Linked DNA regions of Macaca mulatta. The protein of the gene in region 1 interacts with the protein of each later gene in a pairwise test. Links are inferred from orthologs where the notes say so. Each region holds a gene or a part of one and is shown on either strand. Other genes may lie near its edges.

Region 1 (6,094 bases):
CACCCAAAGTACCAAATCAGATTAATCAGGACACTTACCTTTGTACAATGTCGGACTCCAGTTAATAACTTCCCTAGGGCAGAGGGCATATGCACTGATTTACTTTGTACAAATTAACTAGCATCAGGCAATCAGGTCTGTGCCTGACACATAGTAGGCACTCTATGATTAAAGATCAGTGCTTTGCCTCCAAAGTTTTAAAAGCTTCCCCTACAAAAGAACAGAACTGAAATTCCTTGGTCTTGTATTCAATGTCTTTTATAAGTAATCACTTCTCCCCTACTTACTCTGCTAGTCTACTGGGCTACCAGGAATTTTTTTTTTTTTTTTTTTTTTTTTTTGGAGCTAGGGTCTTACTCTGTAGCCCAGGCTAGAGTGTGGCAGCAGGATCACAGCTCACTGCAGCCTCAACCACCCGGGCTCGGGTGATCCTCCCACCTTAGTCTCACCAGTAGCTGGGACTACAGGCCCACGCCACCAGGCCTGGCTTATTTTTTTAATTTTTAGTGGAGAGGAGGTTTCACCATGTTGCCCAAGCTGGTCTCAAACTCCTGGGCTCAAGCAATCCTCCTGCCTCAGCCTCCCAAAGTGCTGGGATTACAGGCATAAACCACCACAAATTATTTACACCTATCAAATTCCACCCATTATTTGGGACCCAGTTGAAATCACTCCTTTGGCAAAAAGACTTTCTAGACAACTCCAGGCCTCATAACCTCTCCTTTCTCTGAAGACCTGCAGCATTCAGCAGTAGCACTGTCCAATAGAACATGCTATGATAACAGAAATGTTCTACATCTGTACTGTATATTCTTTTATGTAGAACAGCTACCTTGTTAGCGCAACAGTAAAGTCTCACCATCTCTTTGCTGACAAGATGTTACACTGGATGGTTAAAACATTTATCAGCTCCCCGAGTAGATTGAAATTTCTGTGAACAAGATACAACTTATTCTTCATAGCAACTCTGACAACGTTGCAAAAGGTATATATTTGTTGGCCAGGCAAGGTGGCTCATGCCTGTAATCCCAGCACTTTGGGAGGCTGAGGTGGGCAGATCTCTTGAGGACAGAAGTTTGAGACCAGCCTAGTCAACATAGTGAAACCCCATCTCTATTAAAAATACAAAAAGTAAGCTAGCTGGGCGTAGTGGCGGGCACCTGTAATCCCAGCTATCCAGGAGGCTGAGGTGCAAGAATCACTTGAACCTGGGAGAAGGAGGTTACAGCGAGCCAAGATCATACCACTGCACTCCAGCCTGGGTGACAGAGTGCAACTCCAACTCAAAAAAAAAAAAAAAGTATATATTTATTGATTTGCACATCACCTAAGAAAACCATAAGCTAAAAAGGTGTCTGGAAAGTTGGTCACCACCTCTACGCCATCTCACATCTGAATGTCAAGAGACACGTAGAGGCAGGGTGGTTAAAGCAACTTTCTAGAGACAGAAATGACCACTGATCAAGCCACAATGCACTCTGGTTTAAATGACATTTAGGTCATGACTGTCCTTAATCTAAAACAAACCACGATTAGTATTTCTTTTCATTAGTAAATAGCTGAATTCTGATGGTAAATTATGCTGACCAAAAACAGTTCCTCACTTCCCAAGTTAGACATAGCAATTAGGTAGAAAAATAATCTAAGCAAGCTCCATTTGTATTTCTTTTTTCACGTGTTTATTGAATATTTACCTCCCATAAAGTCTTTCAGCCTGTTGGTGGTATTTTACTGTTCAGATATATGTTAGAATTTCACTGATACTGGGTGCGGTGGCTCACACCTGTAATCCTAGCACTTCGGGAGACAGAGGCGGGCGGCTCACGAGGTCAGGAGTTCAAGACCAGCCTAGCCAATATGGTAAAACCCTGGTCTCTACTAAAAATACAAAAATTAGCCGGGCGTGGTGGTGCGCAACTGTAGTCCCAGCTACTTGGGAGGCTGAGGCAGGAGAATCACTTGAACCCAGGAGGCAGAGGTTACAGTGAGCCAAGATTGCGCCACTGCACTCCAGCCTAGGCAACAGAGCAAGACTCCGTCTCAAAAAAAAAAAAAAAAAGAATTTCACTGATACTTTTCACAAAATATACAGAAGGCGGCACAAATTCCACCACTATGGCACTCTGCCGCCTTGGGCAAGTGTCTTGATCCTTTGGCCTCAATTTTCTTATCTACAATATTAGAGGAATTGTTATGTGAACTACCTACCTCACAAGTCCTTTGTGGGTCAATTCATAACTGTGCTGTGGGTATTTCTTTTTCTTTCCTTTCTTCCTCTTTTCCTTTCCTTTCTTTCTTAGAGACGGGTTCTCATTATGTTGCCTAGACTAGACTCTAGACCCAATTCCTGGCCTCTCACCATGTTGCCCAGACCAGACTCAACTCCTGGACTCAAGGAATCCTCCGGCCTCAGCTTTCAAGTAACTGGGATCAGAGGTGTGCACCACCATGCCTGGCACTGTGGATATTTTTAAGTGATTATTCTTCCCAAATGAACTACATAAAAAACAAAAGATTCATGAATTTACTAATGGTTCTTTGTGATGGATGTGCTAATACAGAGACTAAAATCAAGGCTCCAACCTCTAAAACATTTTTTTTTTTTAATTCCAGACTTGTTTCCCCATCCCACTGTGCAAACTGAACAAAAACTGGGCTAGCACTCCCGTCTGGAACATGTAATAAGGAAATAAATGTGCTGACTCAGAGAACACAGACATATTTAATATAAAATAAAATAGAAAACTGGCTGAATCAAGTCATAGCACAGTCTAAATCCACATATAAAAGATTGAGATGATTTTCTGCTTTGCTTTATTCAAGCCCAATGCTTTATCAGCACAGCCAGCCAAAAATTTACAACCCATGCACAGACTACGTAAACCTTTAGTTGCACATACAGTAAGACCAGCAGGTACACACTATACACATTTTTAACAAAAAACAATGACTAACCACTGATTTTGTCACCACACTTACAACGACCTGATATGGCACAGGGTGATGTGTATCAAACATGGAAATACCAACTTGGGCGACGGTTTGAATCTTGTTAACTTCAGTGCAACCACACCCCCCTAAATGCAGGTAAACTTAGCACACATGGTTTTGTCAAGGCCAGCCTGTCTTTGTTTCCCTCTCCTCTGCATTTACCCAAGATCTTGGCTCTGAGACACAGAACTCCCACTCTCGATTGGTTCATTCCGTCCTATGCAATTAAGCAACACCACAATCCAGTAAACGCAATGGCTCAATTATTTATCTTCTGGCCGACTTTACCAGGTATTTGGAAAAGAACATTGCCAAGAGATTTATTTCTCTCTCTAGAGCTGGCTTGACGGGTTGACGGGGATTTTGTCTTTTTTTCCCCTCTTTTTTACATGGCGGGGGCGTGAGGGGAGCATAGTTTAACCTAGAAAAAGATGGGAGGGAATTTAGAAAGAGTACCGGTCTGTCAATTTCCCTACAGGAAACTTGATTCTTATGCAATAAAGCCTACCCGCGACCAGCCAGCCCGTGAGGCTGCAGGGGACAGACACACCTATTCCTGCCTCCAGAAGGGCACAGCTGGCTCCTGAAGAAGCGGGAACAGGGCAAGCGGAGGAAGTGGCTCAGAGGGAGCCGCCGGCCAGGCGGGGAGGAGGCGCTTTCCGACCCCCACCCGCGCCGGTGATCCCCGCCGGCGTGACAGTCGCTCCGGCGGCCGGAACGTCCCCAGGGCTCCAGGGAGCAGGAAATCGGGGGACTGTCCCTCACTCCTGCCGCCGCAGCCGAGTGCGCCCTCGCCCCACGGTGCCCCCTCGGGCGCGTTCTCACTGTTTCTCCGAAGAACGAAACTTCCCTCCAGCGCCCCGAGTCCCTTCCGAGGCCCGCTCCTGTCATCCCGAAGAGTCTTCCCTCAGGGCGACCCTCCGCGTCTCCTCATCTCTCCCCGCCCCACTGCAGCGTCCATCACAAAATCCCCAAGGTCCCAGAGGCCCCCAACCGCGGCGGCGCCCCCAGGTCCCCAGGCCTCCCCGACGGCCCCACCCTGCACCCCCTTCACCTGTTTCTCCAGCAGAGGCCGAGAGGCCGGGGCTGCGCGTGCGCCGGGGGCGGGCGACGGGGCTCCCTCAGGCCGGAGGGCTTATCCGAGCCGAGGGGGAGAGACAGCGCCGAGCCGGGGTGCCTGTCCAGGATCCGGTTGGGGCTTGTTCCCTCGGCTGCTACGTCGGAACCCCCGGCTCCCCCTCCCGGTCTACGCCGCCGCAGCTCCGGAAACCGCTGAATTACAGCCCCTTCAGCCAATCCCCGCCCAGCCCCAGCCTGGCCGGGGCACGCCGTCATGCATAATTCATGAACGGCCATTTCGCTCGGCCACCCAGAGGTCCCAGTGCGTGTGCGGTACCGACAAAGCCCCGCCCACTGACCAATGAAGAGAGCAGCTAGGAGAAAGGGCGGAGCCAAGAGAAGACTGATACGCCCCTGTGCTGGCTGTTCCGACAGTTCGGTGCTCCTCCCTCCGCCACAGCGAGGGAAGAGCCGAGGACTTGGGCACAGAAGCCCGGGGGGAGGGAGGGAAGATGACCGGAATGTCCTGCTGAAAACTCAGCTGAGTTCCTGGCAGTGCGTGACGTCAAGGCACTTTAAATGCCCCTGATACAGCTCCCTCCTGTCCGCTCTCCCTTTTCCCGGCCCTTGGCACCACGTGGTGGCGAGATTGAGAGCCTCTTACCACGTGGGAATCAGCCAGTTAGACAGTCCCCAGGTATCTCCAGATCCTCTGGGGACCCAACACCTGAATTGGGTTCTGGGGACAACAAAAAGAACATGAGTGACTCCGCCTGCTTTGAACTTCAGTTTCTGCGTGAACAGGGACACACACACCCGGAAACATGACGTGGAAATAGAGTAAATACTAGAGTGCGTGGGGAGAAATAGTAGATTTAACCCCGTCCTCCGTTCCATCACTTCAAGCATCAAACTCCGAGCAGCTAGCCCATTGGCCGGTACAGGCGAATGCAGAAGACGGTGTATACGAAAGTTGATACGTGTAGGGCTTGACATTTTTATGCGTCTGAATTGAAATACATGAAATGTTCCGCCTTTTTCGTTTCCACCTTGCCTACTTGGTATGCAAGTTTTGCTGAATTGAAGCCAGTGGTTCATAGGAAATGTAGACATTTTGCCTTTCATAATAGAGGATGAATTTTGCATAATGGAGTGATTTCTGTGTATGTGCTGATACTATCAGGGTTTTTAATTTTTATTTTTTTAGGGTCTTTAAAAATATGTTATTAATATTTGTGTTTGTTTAATACGAACCGGTATAAAGACAAAAATCTATAAAGGACCCATTATCTCACTGCTCAGATAACCCCTGACATTTTTTTTTTCAATGAAACTAATACATGTTCCTGTTTAGAAAATGCAGACCGTTCAGAAAGGTAAAAAATTTTAAATGAAAATCTTTCCCTACCCCCATCATTCCTTCTCCCCAGGGATAGCTATTCTTATTAATTTGTAGTGAGAAAAATCAATGACTCTTAACCTTTGAAGGGAGTCACAGATCCTTCTGAGTGTTTGAAGGAGACTAGATTCTAGCCCCAGAAACAGCACAAGCTTTCACTCACATGGTTCTCCAGATACCTGAAACCCGTCTAACGTCTACAGATTCAGACCATTCATACCACCTCATATCCAACGAGGGACAGAGGCACCTACAGGGCAATTCATAGGGTCACTGGTGCTGGGAATTGAGAACCTCCTATTGCCCTCTGGTAGACACAGCCCAATGTGGAAATTGCTGTATTTAACCTGTAGAGTGTGTGTGTATTGATTAGACTGTTTATCTACACCACAGGACAGATATCCCTCATCTCCACCTATATTCTCTTGTAACTGCGCTATCCCATGCCATTAACTTCCTCCCTGATAACACAGGGTCTAGGACTTGTTTAGTGATTTACTGCTTACAAAGCACTTACACACCTTATACACTCCCTGCCTCGTTTCTTTCTCACAATCATGAGTAGCAGATAGGAGAGGCCATATTATCCGCTGATAGAAAACTAAAGCAAACATAATATGACATTTTCAAGATCACAGAGATATT
Region 2 (5,585 bases), on another chromosome or scaffold:
TTGGCATTGAGTCTTTTTACTGCCGTATCTTTCCTCCACCAAGCCTCAAAAAACGACTCTCTTTTATGACATTTTTTTGACCTTTCTCTTTCAACATTTCTTTTTTTGAATTACCTTTTTGTAATGCTTTCAACCACTGACTTCGGCTCTCTTCATTTGATGCATAGACATAGAGAAGCCCATCTTTATAGACAATCTGGAAAGGAAAATATTTGGTGTGTTTATATATAATTGCACTTAGTTCACTTTGGTGCACCTGCAAATTATTTGTCATCCAAAAGAAACCTTGAGTTTGCTTATATAGTATACATCAGCTCTGGAATTAGATGGAAAAAAAATCTGCTTAAAAAAATCCTCCAGCTATCAGTTTGTTTTATCCCAGACACTCCTATACTTTGGAAAATTACAGCGATGATGCACCCAATAGTAGTAGTGAACACTGAGTTCTCATCACGGATGCCCCGGACTATGGACATTAATATGTTAGACATTACACGTGTCTTAGGATTGTTCTGGTCCATTTGCCTACCCAGTGCATGATTTCCTTACAGCCCACTGGAAAATGTTTAACTGCTCTATCTTTAAAAATACCTTCAAGGATGGAATGTTCTTTACTATGTCATCTCTGCCAATATGCATATATTCTGATCATTATACAGTTCACACTTACTTTGAGTAAAAATATGTCTCCCTGTTACTTCCATCTGTTTAATCATGTGGCACCCCAGGAATCCCCAGAATATATTTCTATTTCTTAAGACAAATGTTTGAACATTTGAAGGTTACAATATCTTCTCCAGATCTTTCTCTAGTTTATTCAACTCTGGTTGGTAAATATACACATTTGTTAAACACTTACTAGTTGCTGGGCTCTTTCCTAGCTACTTCAATATTTTAATCTTATTTCAACTCTATGAGAAATGGAAGTTGAGTATGTGTTTATGGTTGCACAAGTATAAGTGGTGGGACTAGGAACTCTGTGGGGGCTCCAAAGCCTGTGATCTTTTGAGCACCCTGTGCATCTGTGAGGTGAGTTTGCAGCATCTTCCATGAGCATGACTTCCCCTGGTTTCCCCCCATTGGGTAATTTTTTCGTGAAAAAAATGCTTATGTAGAGATGAGTTCTCACTATGTTGCCCAGGCTGGTCTTGAACTCCCAGCCTCAAGTGATCCTCCCTCTTTGGCCTCCCAAAGTGCTGGGATTACAGTCATGAGCCACTGTGCCTGGCCTGGTAATATTTTTTCCAAATGGGAAGTATGGGTTGTTAATCAACTGGATTATTGTATTTCATTTTTGGCCACAGGTTCCTAATACTAGCACAGGGTAGTCAGGCCATCTGAAAGACAATCCATCTACCTTTAGATCAGAAATGTAACTTTTTATGATATAAGAAAAGTTGGGCATGACTTAGATTAGGCCACTTCCAAAAGGTACTGTCAGCATACACTCCATACCATGCCATTGTTTAAAATACTTCAGGATAAAATGAAAACTCCTTAGCATGGTCACCTCTCCAGGCTCATCTCTTTCACTGTCGCATGGGCTTTTCTATTCATAGGGACTACTTAGTGCTCTCTAAACATATCATACTATTTCATCAGTGCCTTGACACCTTGACACCTGCTGCTTCTTTTGTCCCACTGTCCTTCTCATATTTGCTGGGCTAAATTTTACTTGTCCTTCCCAACTTGAGTGTCACCTCCAATAGAATATCTCTCTAGCCTCTTGGAGCGAGGAATGAAGCTTCCACATCCTGGGACTCCACGGATGCGTTCTGCTGACCTCCACCTGAACACGCACCCTCACTGCTTTGTAATGGTCTGTGTATTAGTTTATTTTGCCACTTCCCTGTCAGTGCCTTGGGGTAGGAGCAGTGTTTCGTTCCCCATAGTATGCCTACTACTGTGTACCACATCAGAGATACTCAGCAATGTGTGTTAAAAGAGATCATCAGACCTGAGGCAGGTCAGGTCACTGCGACTTACACTCCTATCTTGCTTCCCTTCCCTCCAGAGAAGGCAGATTGTGGACAGAATTTTAGCAAAATGCCCAACTCCCATGTGGGAATATTCCAAGCCTTGTTATTGTCTGAATAGATTATTTTGAAATATCCTTATTTTCCCTGGATATATTGAGTTTACAATAGAAAAATTAAAGGAAGAACTATCCACCCAATGTAATGTTGTTCTTCCCTTTACCTGAAATGGGTACTGTCTCTCCACAGGCGTCTGCTCCTCGAGATTTACTTTCTCCACACATCTGATTTTCTTAATTTCGATGGATCCTTTTCTGCTGCCCCTTTTCTGAATTAAAAAACAAAATGTAAGATACCTCATGCAATACATCATGGTGCACAAGGAAAAGCATAAAGCTCAAGTCATGCTTGAGAGGGAGATTGGGGTAGGGGGTGGGCAATGGAGAGTCACTTCCCATTATCCCGTAATAGTCAAAATCCAATGACAACAGAATCTATTCCTTGAGTCTGGACACAAACACATACATTCCAGTGGTTAATAATCTTGTTTGATTATCTTGAAATGTGTTTCAAATCACCTACCATGTGGTTAATATACTCAGGAAAATCAAGATTTAACTTCTGCAAAGCATCTTCATTTTGGTTCAACCTTATGACAGTATTTCAGTATTTTTACTATAGTAGAATTCTCAACTGTCCAGGAATAGTCTTATTTCTAGCATTGTTTTAAGGCACTATTGCCATTTAAGGCTGGGTAATTATTTGTTGTGAGGACTGTCCTGTGCACTGCAGGATGGTTAGCTGCATTCTTGGCCTCTACTCGCTAGATGCCTTTAACACTTACTGTTCCTATCCCCCAGCTGGAACAACCCAAAATATCTCCAGTCTTTTCCCAGTGTCACCTGGGGAGCAAAAATGCCCTCAGTTGAGAACCACTGTTCTAAAGTTATAATTTGCCTTAGTAAAGTTAACTAATGTTTTAAAATCCTTTATCTTGAATTCATTATACTTTCATTAAGAAAAGGTCATGTGATAAGTGGATAGAAGTGGATCTTCACTGTGTACGCTAAGAAACCTGATATTCTTTCGTTATGATCAAGTACGTTGTGGAGACTTAGGAAAAGTAATAAATAGTATAAAAACAATGGAACACATGATGTCTCACCATTTTGTCATATTCATAGTAGGAAAGGTTTGTTTTGGTCAAAACAAAAAGCCGTTCTTTGTAATTATTTGGTGACATTTTCTTCTTTTGCTGTGACCTTTTGAGAAGAAGTTCTTCTAGAATAGATTTTGTATCCATATTATCATCCTAAACAAAATAAATAATTAAAATGAGTATTTGCAGCATCTAGGTAAGTTCTCTTTAACCTTCATATCTTTTCCTCAACTATTTCCTATTAAGGGATAATATAAATGCTAATTTTTAAAAAATGAGACTGACTTAGGATTATAGAATAAATTACACAATAGCTACAGTTTTTCTGCTGCCTTTGCTTCGGATTTTATAAATATGCTGATTTTTAAAAAACACTTTATATATTTGACTCCTCCCACTGTGGATAATAAATTCATCATCTTTGCCTCATTCTCCAGACCACCTTATCAAAATGCTCCTTACTCTTTAAACATTCTATACGTGTTGGTTGAATTGAATTGGATATAATAAAACTTTAAAAAATTTAACTCCAGACAGCTCACAATTTATGAAGTAATGGCCAGTAATTTGACCAAATTACCCAAACCACTATGAGACACTGACATTATTGTAAATAACACCTGCAGCCCCTGATCATGACCAGATATTTAACATAAATTACACAGGTATAATTTTCAATATCTATGAGAATTTAAAATCAAAGTGAATGCCTAAGATAAGATAAAATGAGGAAAATGTATGAGGGCGCAATAACAGATGCTATCAAAAGAGATTTAAAAGAACTGAAAAAAATGAGTACATTTACAAAGTAAAAAGACCCTTCCTTTTTATTCCAAAATTATGTAAAACATTAAAACTTAAGCTATTTCTGAAAAATAAATGCATTCATTTTCTACTTCTACTAAGACAGTTACTTCATCCCTCAGTCTCATATCAGGTCTGATCATGAAAAGTAGCAATGTTGAGCAGTAGACCAGAGAGACAAACTTCCTTATGTTCTTCTTTGCTTTGCGAAATTGCATCGTTATTTGAATTCACATGCCCAATAGTTAAGATCTTTCTTTACTGATAATCTGAAGGCTTTACTCACCTTAGACTCGCTAGAGCCAAAGTATACGTGTGGTCCTTACCTTTAACTCTCAAGCTCTAAGCAGAAAGTTACTGCTTTGAGGCACCATCACTCATATTCCCTCTGGCTATGCCAGGGTCATGCATTCAAAAGAAGATATTTGCATTCCACTTATCAGTCTTGATCAGGAAGCACCCACACAGGCATTGCTCTGTCTGCATGGAGGCGGGTGCCAAGTGAACCCATCCAGTCACTAGAGGGCACTTCTCACTGGCCTGGGAGTATGATGGACCCACTATGGCGAAGAGTGAAATGAAAGGGAGACTAAGAAATACAGCCTGGCATTGAATAAACCATGGTTGACTCCAGCCTGCTTTCCTCCTAACATAGACCACACAACTCTCAAAGTGGAATTAAGAAAACCAGCTTTTATTATTTACTACATAGAACAAAAGATTATTTATTAATTCCTAAACTGTCCTCCAAGGGCATTATTTGATTTTTAGACAGAAGTAGTGGAAACCTTATCCATTCAATATAATAAAGTCTTGGTTACTTTTTGCTTGGGATATTTTTTTAGCTATTTAAAAAGGATAATTCTTTCACAAAAGTAGAATGGGTTTCTTCTGAGTACAATGGGTGCTATTTGCAATGGTCACTGGTTTCTTTGTCCAGTGATCAAAGACAGGGCAGAGATCAGGGTATAGTAGAGCCTATGGAGGTAGGTAGCATGCCTTCCTTTTATCTCTGCTTCCATTGTGAACTCTACATATCCACCTGCCCCGGTAAGTTTATTTTCTACACCCAAAGTCTGTGGCCAGAAGAGAATTTGTTCGGAGACTTATAGAAACCATGAGGGTCTACTTTTTTTGAGTGAAAGCCTCCTTTGGGGAGGCAATATCACACTGCATATAGTCGTAGGGTACTTTTGCCTTTTATATTTCTATATTTTACTAATGAGGCAGAAGGAGAAAGCTGTGAAAACTCTTGCCAATTTTTTATATCCACAGCTGAAATATCATTCCTCAAAGCAGAGTGCTAATTAAATGGATCTGATTAGTTGAATAGAAAATTTACTTTTTAATTTTTTTAGATGCTGAATCAATTTGTGACATTAACAACACTGTTTTAAAAATGTAAAAATCCCAATGTCCAAGGAGCTATTCAGTCTTTCCCAGTACTACGTGCTGATATACATATTTTTCTGTCTATAGAACTTTCACACCTAGGCAGGGCACAATGTCTCATGCCTGTAATCCCAGCACATTGCACATTAGGAGGCTGAGGAGGGAGGATTGCTTGAGGTCAGGAGTTTGAGACCAGCCTGGGAAACATAGTGAGACCCTGTCCCTAGAAAATGTTTCTAACAAATTAGCAGACA
Region 3 (4,565 bases), on another chromosome or scaffold:
GGGCTATCTTGGATCCCTCTCCCAAACTGTGTAAAGGAAAGACAACAGGGCCTCACTTAAACACAGTCTAAGCAGGAAAACGAGGATCTAAAGCTGTAGTCACACTTGCACACAAAATCTCCTGGTAAAAAGAGCTGTCTTTAAAAGTTCCCCTTTTCCAGCCACACACTGAAATCCCTTTGGTCCCCCTCTGGGAAGTAAAGTTGTGGGAAGCAAAGGAAACACTGAAACCTTCAAACTCTTCAAGGTCCTCAGGGTTAGTGTCAGTAACGTATTTAATAGCCACAATCTACGGAGCACCTAAGTGACAGCAGTTCTCTACCTCATCAGCACAGTAACTCTGAGATAGGAATTATTATCCTTATTTTACAGGACAGGAAATGGAATTAGTCCTGAGTATTCCTTTTCTATCTAGGCCTGGCAGGTCAACTGATTTATAGTAACAAATAACTATCACAAGCACCATCACCATAAGTCAGTGTGTTTGACTGGTTTACTACACTGGAATCAGGAGGCTGCTTGTCTAAGATGGAATCAGGATAAGGGTGTTGGAAGGACTGGTTGTTTAATAAGGTCCAGATAGTCTAATACACTCATGTCCACAATGGGGACAGTAACAGCAACAGGACTGTACACCTGAGGACCAGGAGCTAAGGACTTCCCTCCTCCAGTCTAAATCCCATAAGGAAATCAGGTCAACTTTTTGCTCAGAATTATTATATATCCCTTACATATAATGGTCCTTAGTGTCTGCTGAATGAAAAAATTTGCTGAATAAGTGATGTGATGGGTAGCACCATTTTGGTGCATAGTCTTTTTCCTGTTTTTCCATAGCTGAACAATTTCCATTCTGCCACCAGGGTTGTAGTTAAGTTGTTTTTGTGTGACAGTCTCATTCTGTCATTCAGGATGGAGTGCAGTGGCACAATGATGGCTCACTGCAGCCTCGACTTTCTGGGCTCAAGTGATCCTCCCACCTCAGCCTCCTGGGTAGCTGGGACTACAGGCATGCGCCACTGTGCCCGGCTAATTTGTTTTTATTGTTTTTGTAGAGACAAGGTTTTGCCACGTTGCCCAGGCTGGTCTTGAACTCCTGAGTTCAAGCAATCTGCCCATCTCAGCCTCCCAAAGTGCTGGAACTATAGGCATGAGCTAGTGCCTGGCGAACTTTTACTTTTTTTTGAGATGGAATCTCACTCTGTCACCCAGGCTGGAGCGCAGCAGTGCGATCATTGAGGCCACCACGCCTGGCTAATTTTTGTATTTTTAGTAGAGACAGGGTTTTCACCATGTTGGCCAGGCTGGTCTCAAACTGCTGACTTCAGGTGATCCACCCGCCTCGGCCTCCCAAAGTGCTGAGATTACGGGCGTGAGCTACCATGCCCGGCCGCCAAGTTTTACTTTTAAAACTCACTTCTCACTATCAGGAAACCCTTGTGAGGTGAAACAGGTACAATTCCAGAGCCTAAGCTCATGAAAATCAAATACTTACTTGATTGAAGATACAGACATGTGTTTCAGCTGGTTCTTGAGATCCTGAAAGTTCAACCCTTCAGGTCTTGGACAAGCCTTAATCAAATTCAACACCTGAAGATTCAAATCAGAAAGATTTTCGCAATTATTTTGGATCAGCCACCCCTTTGCAAACCTGAGTCCCTTTATAGGAAAGAAATAAACCAGGTATTCAAACAATCTTAGCTCATCAAGGAAATAACAAAATTTAAGACTGTCTGTGTTTTGTATTTCTGAAGCCACTCTGGTGGAGTTTACCTGGTTTTGGGCCACAGTGAGGCCATTTGCTGGCAGGAAGCTATTCCCACCGAAGTTCCCTGCTTCACTCATTCCTGGATTGCTGATAGGTGCTCTCCCTGCTGAGGGCTGAATTAAGAAATAAGTTAACAATATTAGAAAATCCATCAAGTTAAACAGTCTTTACAACTTCAAATAGCTCGTTAAGCAGCTTACAAAAAACAATTTATAAACAGTTTCCCAGTAACACTGCTTACATTGGAATGGACAGCTATTATCTAAAGAGTATTTCATAGGAAGATAAACTCCCCGAAGCACATAAATATCAAAAAGAGACAGATCCTCTTGGCTCCTTTTGTTTCTGATGTGAGAGGAACCAGAGAAGAGTAGCAGTGAGAAGAAAATTACCCAGAGTCTGCTATTTTGGTATCCATGTGGCCCAATCACTCAAGCATTCACTGAGTGTCTATAGGCATGAAGCACCACAGGCAGAGAAAAGGAGACACAGTCCCTATCGTCCTCTCTCTTTCCTTTTTTTAATACAAATTCTTAAAATGCTCTGCAATCACTATTTTCATTTCCTTTCTCCCCAGTCACTCCTCAGCCCACCATATTTGGGTTCTCCCCAAGTACACCTCTGAAACTGTTTTCACCAAAGTCACCAAAGACTCTTCAACCAATTATCAAAGTCTCTTTCAGTCCTCCTAATACTTGACCTCTCAGAAGCAGACACTGCTGACCACACTCCTCTTGAAATGTGTTCCTCCCTGGGCTTCTTGACACCACATTCTTCTGCTTCTTCATCTGACTCTCAAACTGAACCTTCTCAGTATCCCTCATTAGCCTCTTCTATCTGTCTCCCAAAAGGCTGACAGAGTCCCCAGGATTTCATCCCAGACTGCCTCCTAGGCCACAAATCCTCACTGCCAGCCGGATTGCTAACTGGACGCCAACACGGTGAAACCCCGTCTCTACTAAAACTACAAAAATTAGCTGGGTGTGGTAGTGCGCACCTGTAATCCCAGATACTGGGGAGGCTGAGACAGGAGAATCGCTTGAACCCGAGAAGCGGAGGCAGCAGTGAGCTGAGATCACGTCATTGCACTCCAGCCTGGGTGACAGAATGAGACTGTCTCAAAAAAAAAAAAAAAAAAAAAGGCTGGGCGCAGTGATGAGTCACTTTGGGAGGCTGAGGCGGGCAGATCACGAGGTCAGGAGATTGAGATCATCCTGGCTAACACGGTGAAACCCCTTCTCTACTAAAAATACAAAAATTAGCCAAGCACGGTGGTGGACGCCTGTGGTCCCAGCTACTCGGGAGGTTGAGGCAGGAGAATGGCATGAACCCGGGAGGTGGAGCTTGCAGTGAGCTGAGATTGCGCTACTGCACTCCAGCCTGGGCGAAAGAGTGAGACTCCATCTCAAAAAAAACAAAAACAAAAACAAAAAAACCGCCAAATAAACAAAATTTTAAAAATTTGAATAAAGGCAATCCTTACTATGGCCTCCAAAGCCCCACATAATCTGGGCCCTGCCTCCTTGTCTACAACCCTCTCCCTCTCCCGTCATTTGCTTCACTCCAGACTCTGGCCTTGCTGGTTTCAGAGATGTCACGCTTACTCCACACTCCTGCTTCTTGCACTTCCTAGTCCCTCTGGTTTGGAATGTTCTTCCCCATCTAAAATTGTACCATTCTTGGTTCCCTCCATCACCCTCTTCTCCTATTTTGCTTTATTTACTTCAGAGCACCTATATAACTACCTAAAATTATATATATTTTTTGTTTATTGCTTCTTTCTCCCAAGAATATAAGTATATCGTGTTCACTGCTAAACTCGAATGGGGACTAGAATGATTGGGACTATCAAATCAAAGTAGGCGCAATAAATATTTTTCTTTTTCTTTCTTTATTTTTTTTGAGACAAAGTTGCTCTGTTGCCTAGGCTGCAGTGAGTAGCACAATCACAGCTCAATGCAGCCTTGACCTCCTGGGCTTAAGTGATCTCCCAAACTCAGCCTCCCAAGTAGCCCATCGAATTCTTTAATTTTTTTTCTAGAGACAGGGTCTCCCTATGTTACCCAGGGTGGTGTCTCGAACTGGGCTCAAGTGATGCCCCCATACCATCCTCCCAAAGTGCTAGGATTTCAGGCCATGAACCACCACACCTGGCCCTGAGGGCTTTCTAATACTAGAGTCAACAAACCTTTTGTGTGGTCCTAGATGGACTTGCCAAAGTCAATTCACACAATGGAAAATACTATGGAGAAATTTCAATACGAATCAATAAATATAATTTCAGGGAAAAAATATAATAGTACATAATTTTTCCTACTTAGCCAGTAAGTTGGAAGGAAGACAGTAAAATGCTGTCCTGAAGGGGGCTACTCTCTGAATATGCACTGACAATCCTTGGAGCTAAGAGCTCAGCCTATAATTACATGTCTACACCTAAGGGTTGTCACAGGCCCCAGCTGTCCAGGCCAGTGTCAGAGGAACTCTTAATTCTGAGAGAAACATCAGTGTTTCATCTGAAATAAAATACGGTGACAAAGCTAATGGAGAAAGTGTTCTGAGGACTTAGTGATATCTTTCTCTGGCTAGGCCTTCAAAATGTCAAGGAAATCAAAGCTGGAACACAAAAGTAACCTGTGTTCTTCCAGGGAAGAGAAAAAGCTAGGAAAGTGAGGCTACTCACCTGGCTGTTGGCTTTGCTTAGTACCATGTGTGCATTGATCACTTCCAGAATATGTGTGGTGAACTCATTCATATCCTCCAGGGGCATGATTTTAAAGGCTACCAGGCTCTTTTTGTTCTA

The links.
Region 2: the proteins of STAT3 (region 1) and BMX interact in binary tests that used the Homo sapiens proteins (3 or more experiments, as listed by UniProt). The link is inferred for Macaca mulatta from reciprocal best matches to the Homo sapiens genes STAT3 and BMX.
Region 3: the proteins of STAT3 (region 1) and RPA2 interact in a two-hybrid assay, tested with the Homo sapiens proteins (2 studies listed by BioGRID and IntAct, with this or other methods). The link is inferred for Macaca mulatta from reciprocal best matches to the Homo sapiens genes STAT3 and RPA2.

Annotation. Positions count from the first base shown.
Region 1 is NC_133421.1:66,738,172-66,744,265, forward strand, and holds the start of STAT3 (signal transducer and activator of transcription 3), read right to left. Parts: upstream 4,213-6,094; 5' UTR 4,046-4,212; exon of another isoform or gene 1,270-4,045; intron 1-1,269. UniProt on the Homo sapiens protein: Signal transducer and transcription activator that mediates cellular responses to interleukins, KITLG/SCF, LEP and other growth factors. Once activated, recruits coactivators, such as NCOA1 or MED1, to the promoter region of the target gene.
Region 2 is NC_133426.1:15,175,060-15,180,644, reverse strand, and holds part of BMX (cytoplasmic tyrosine-protein kinase BMX), read right to left. Parts: intron 4,343-5,585; exon of another isoform or gene 4,226-4,342; intron 3,289-4,225; coding exon 3,142-3,288; intron 2,305-3,141; coding exon 2,200-2,304; intron 197-2,199; coding exon 115-196; intron 1-114. UniProt on the Homo sapiens protein: Non-receptor tyrosine kinase that plays central but diverse modulatory roles in various signaling processes involved in the regulation of actin reorganization, cell migration, cell proliferation and survival, cell adhesion, and apoptosis.
Region 3 is NC_133406.1:213,042,154-213,046,718, reverse strand, and holds part of RPA2 (replication protein A 32 kDa subunit), read right to left. Parts: intron 4,563-4,565; coding exon 4,446-4,562; coding exon of another isoform or gene 4,442-4,445; intron 1,879-4,441; coding exon 1,771-1,878; intron 1,588-1,770; coding exon 1,493-1,587; intron 1-1,492. UniProt on the Homo sapiens protein: As part of the heterotrimeric replication protein A complex (RPA/RP-A), binds and stabilizes single-stranded DNA intermediates that form during DNA replication or upon DNA stress.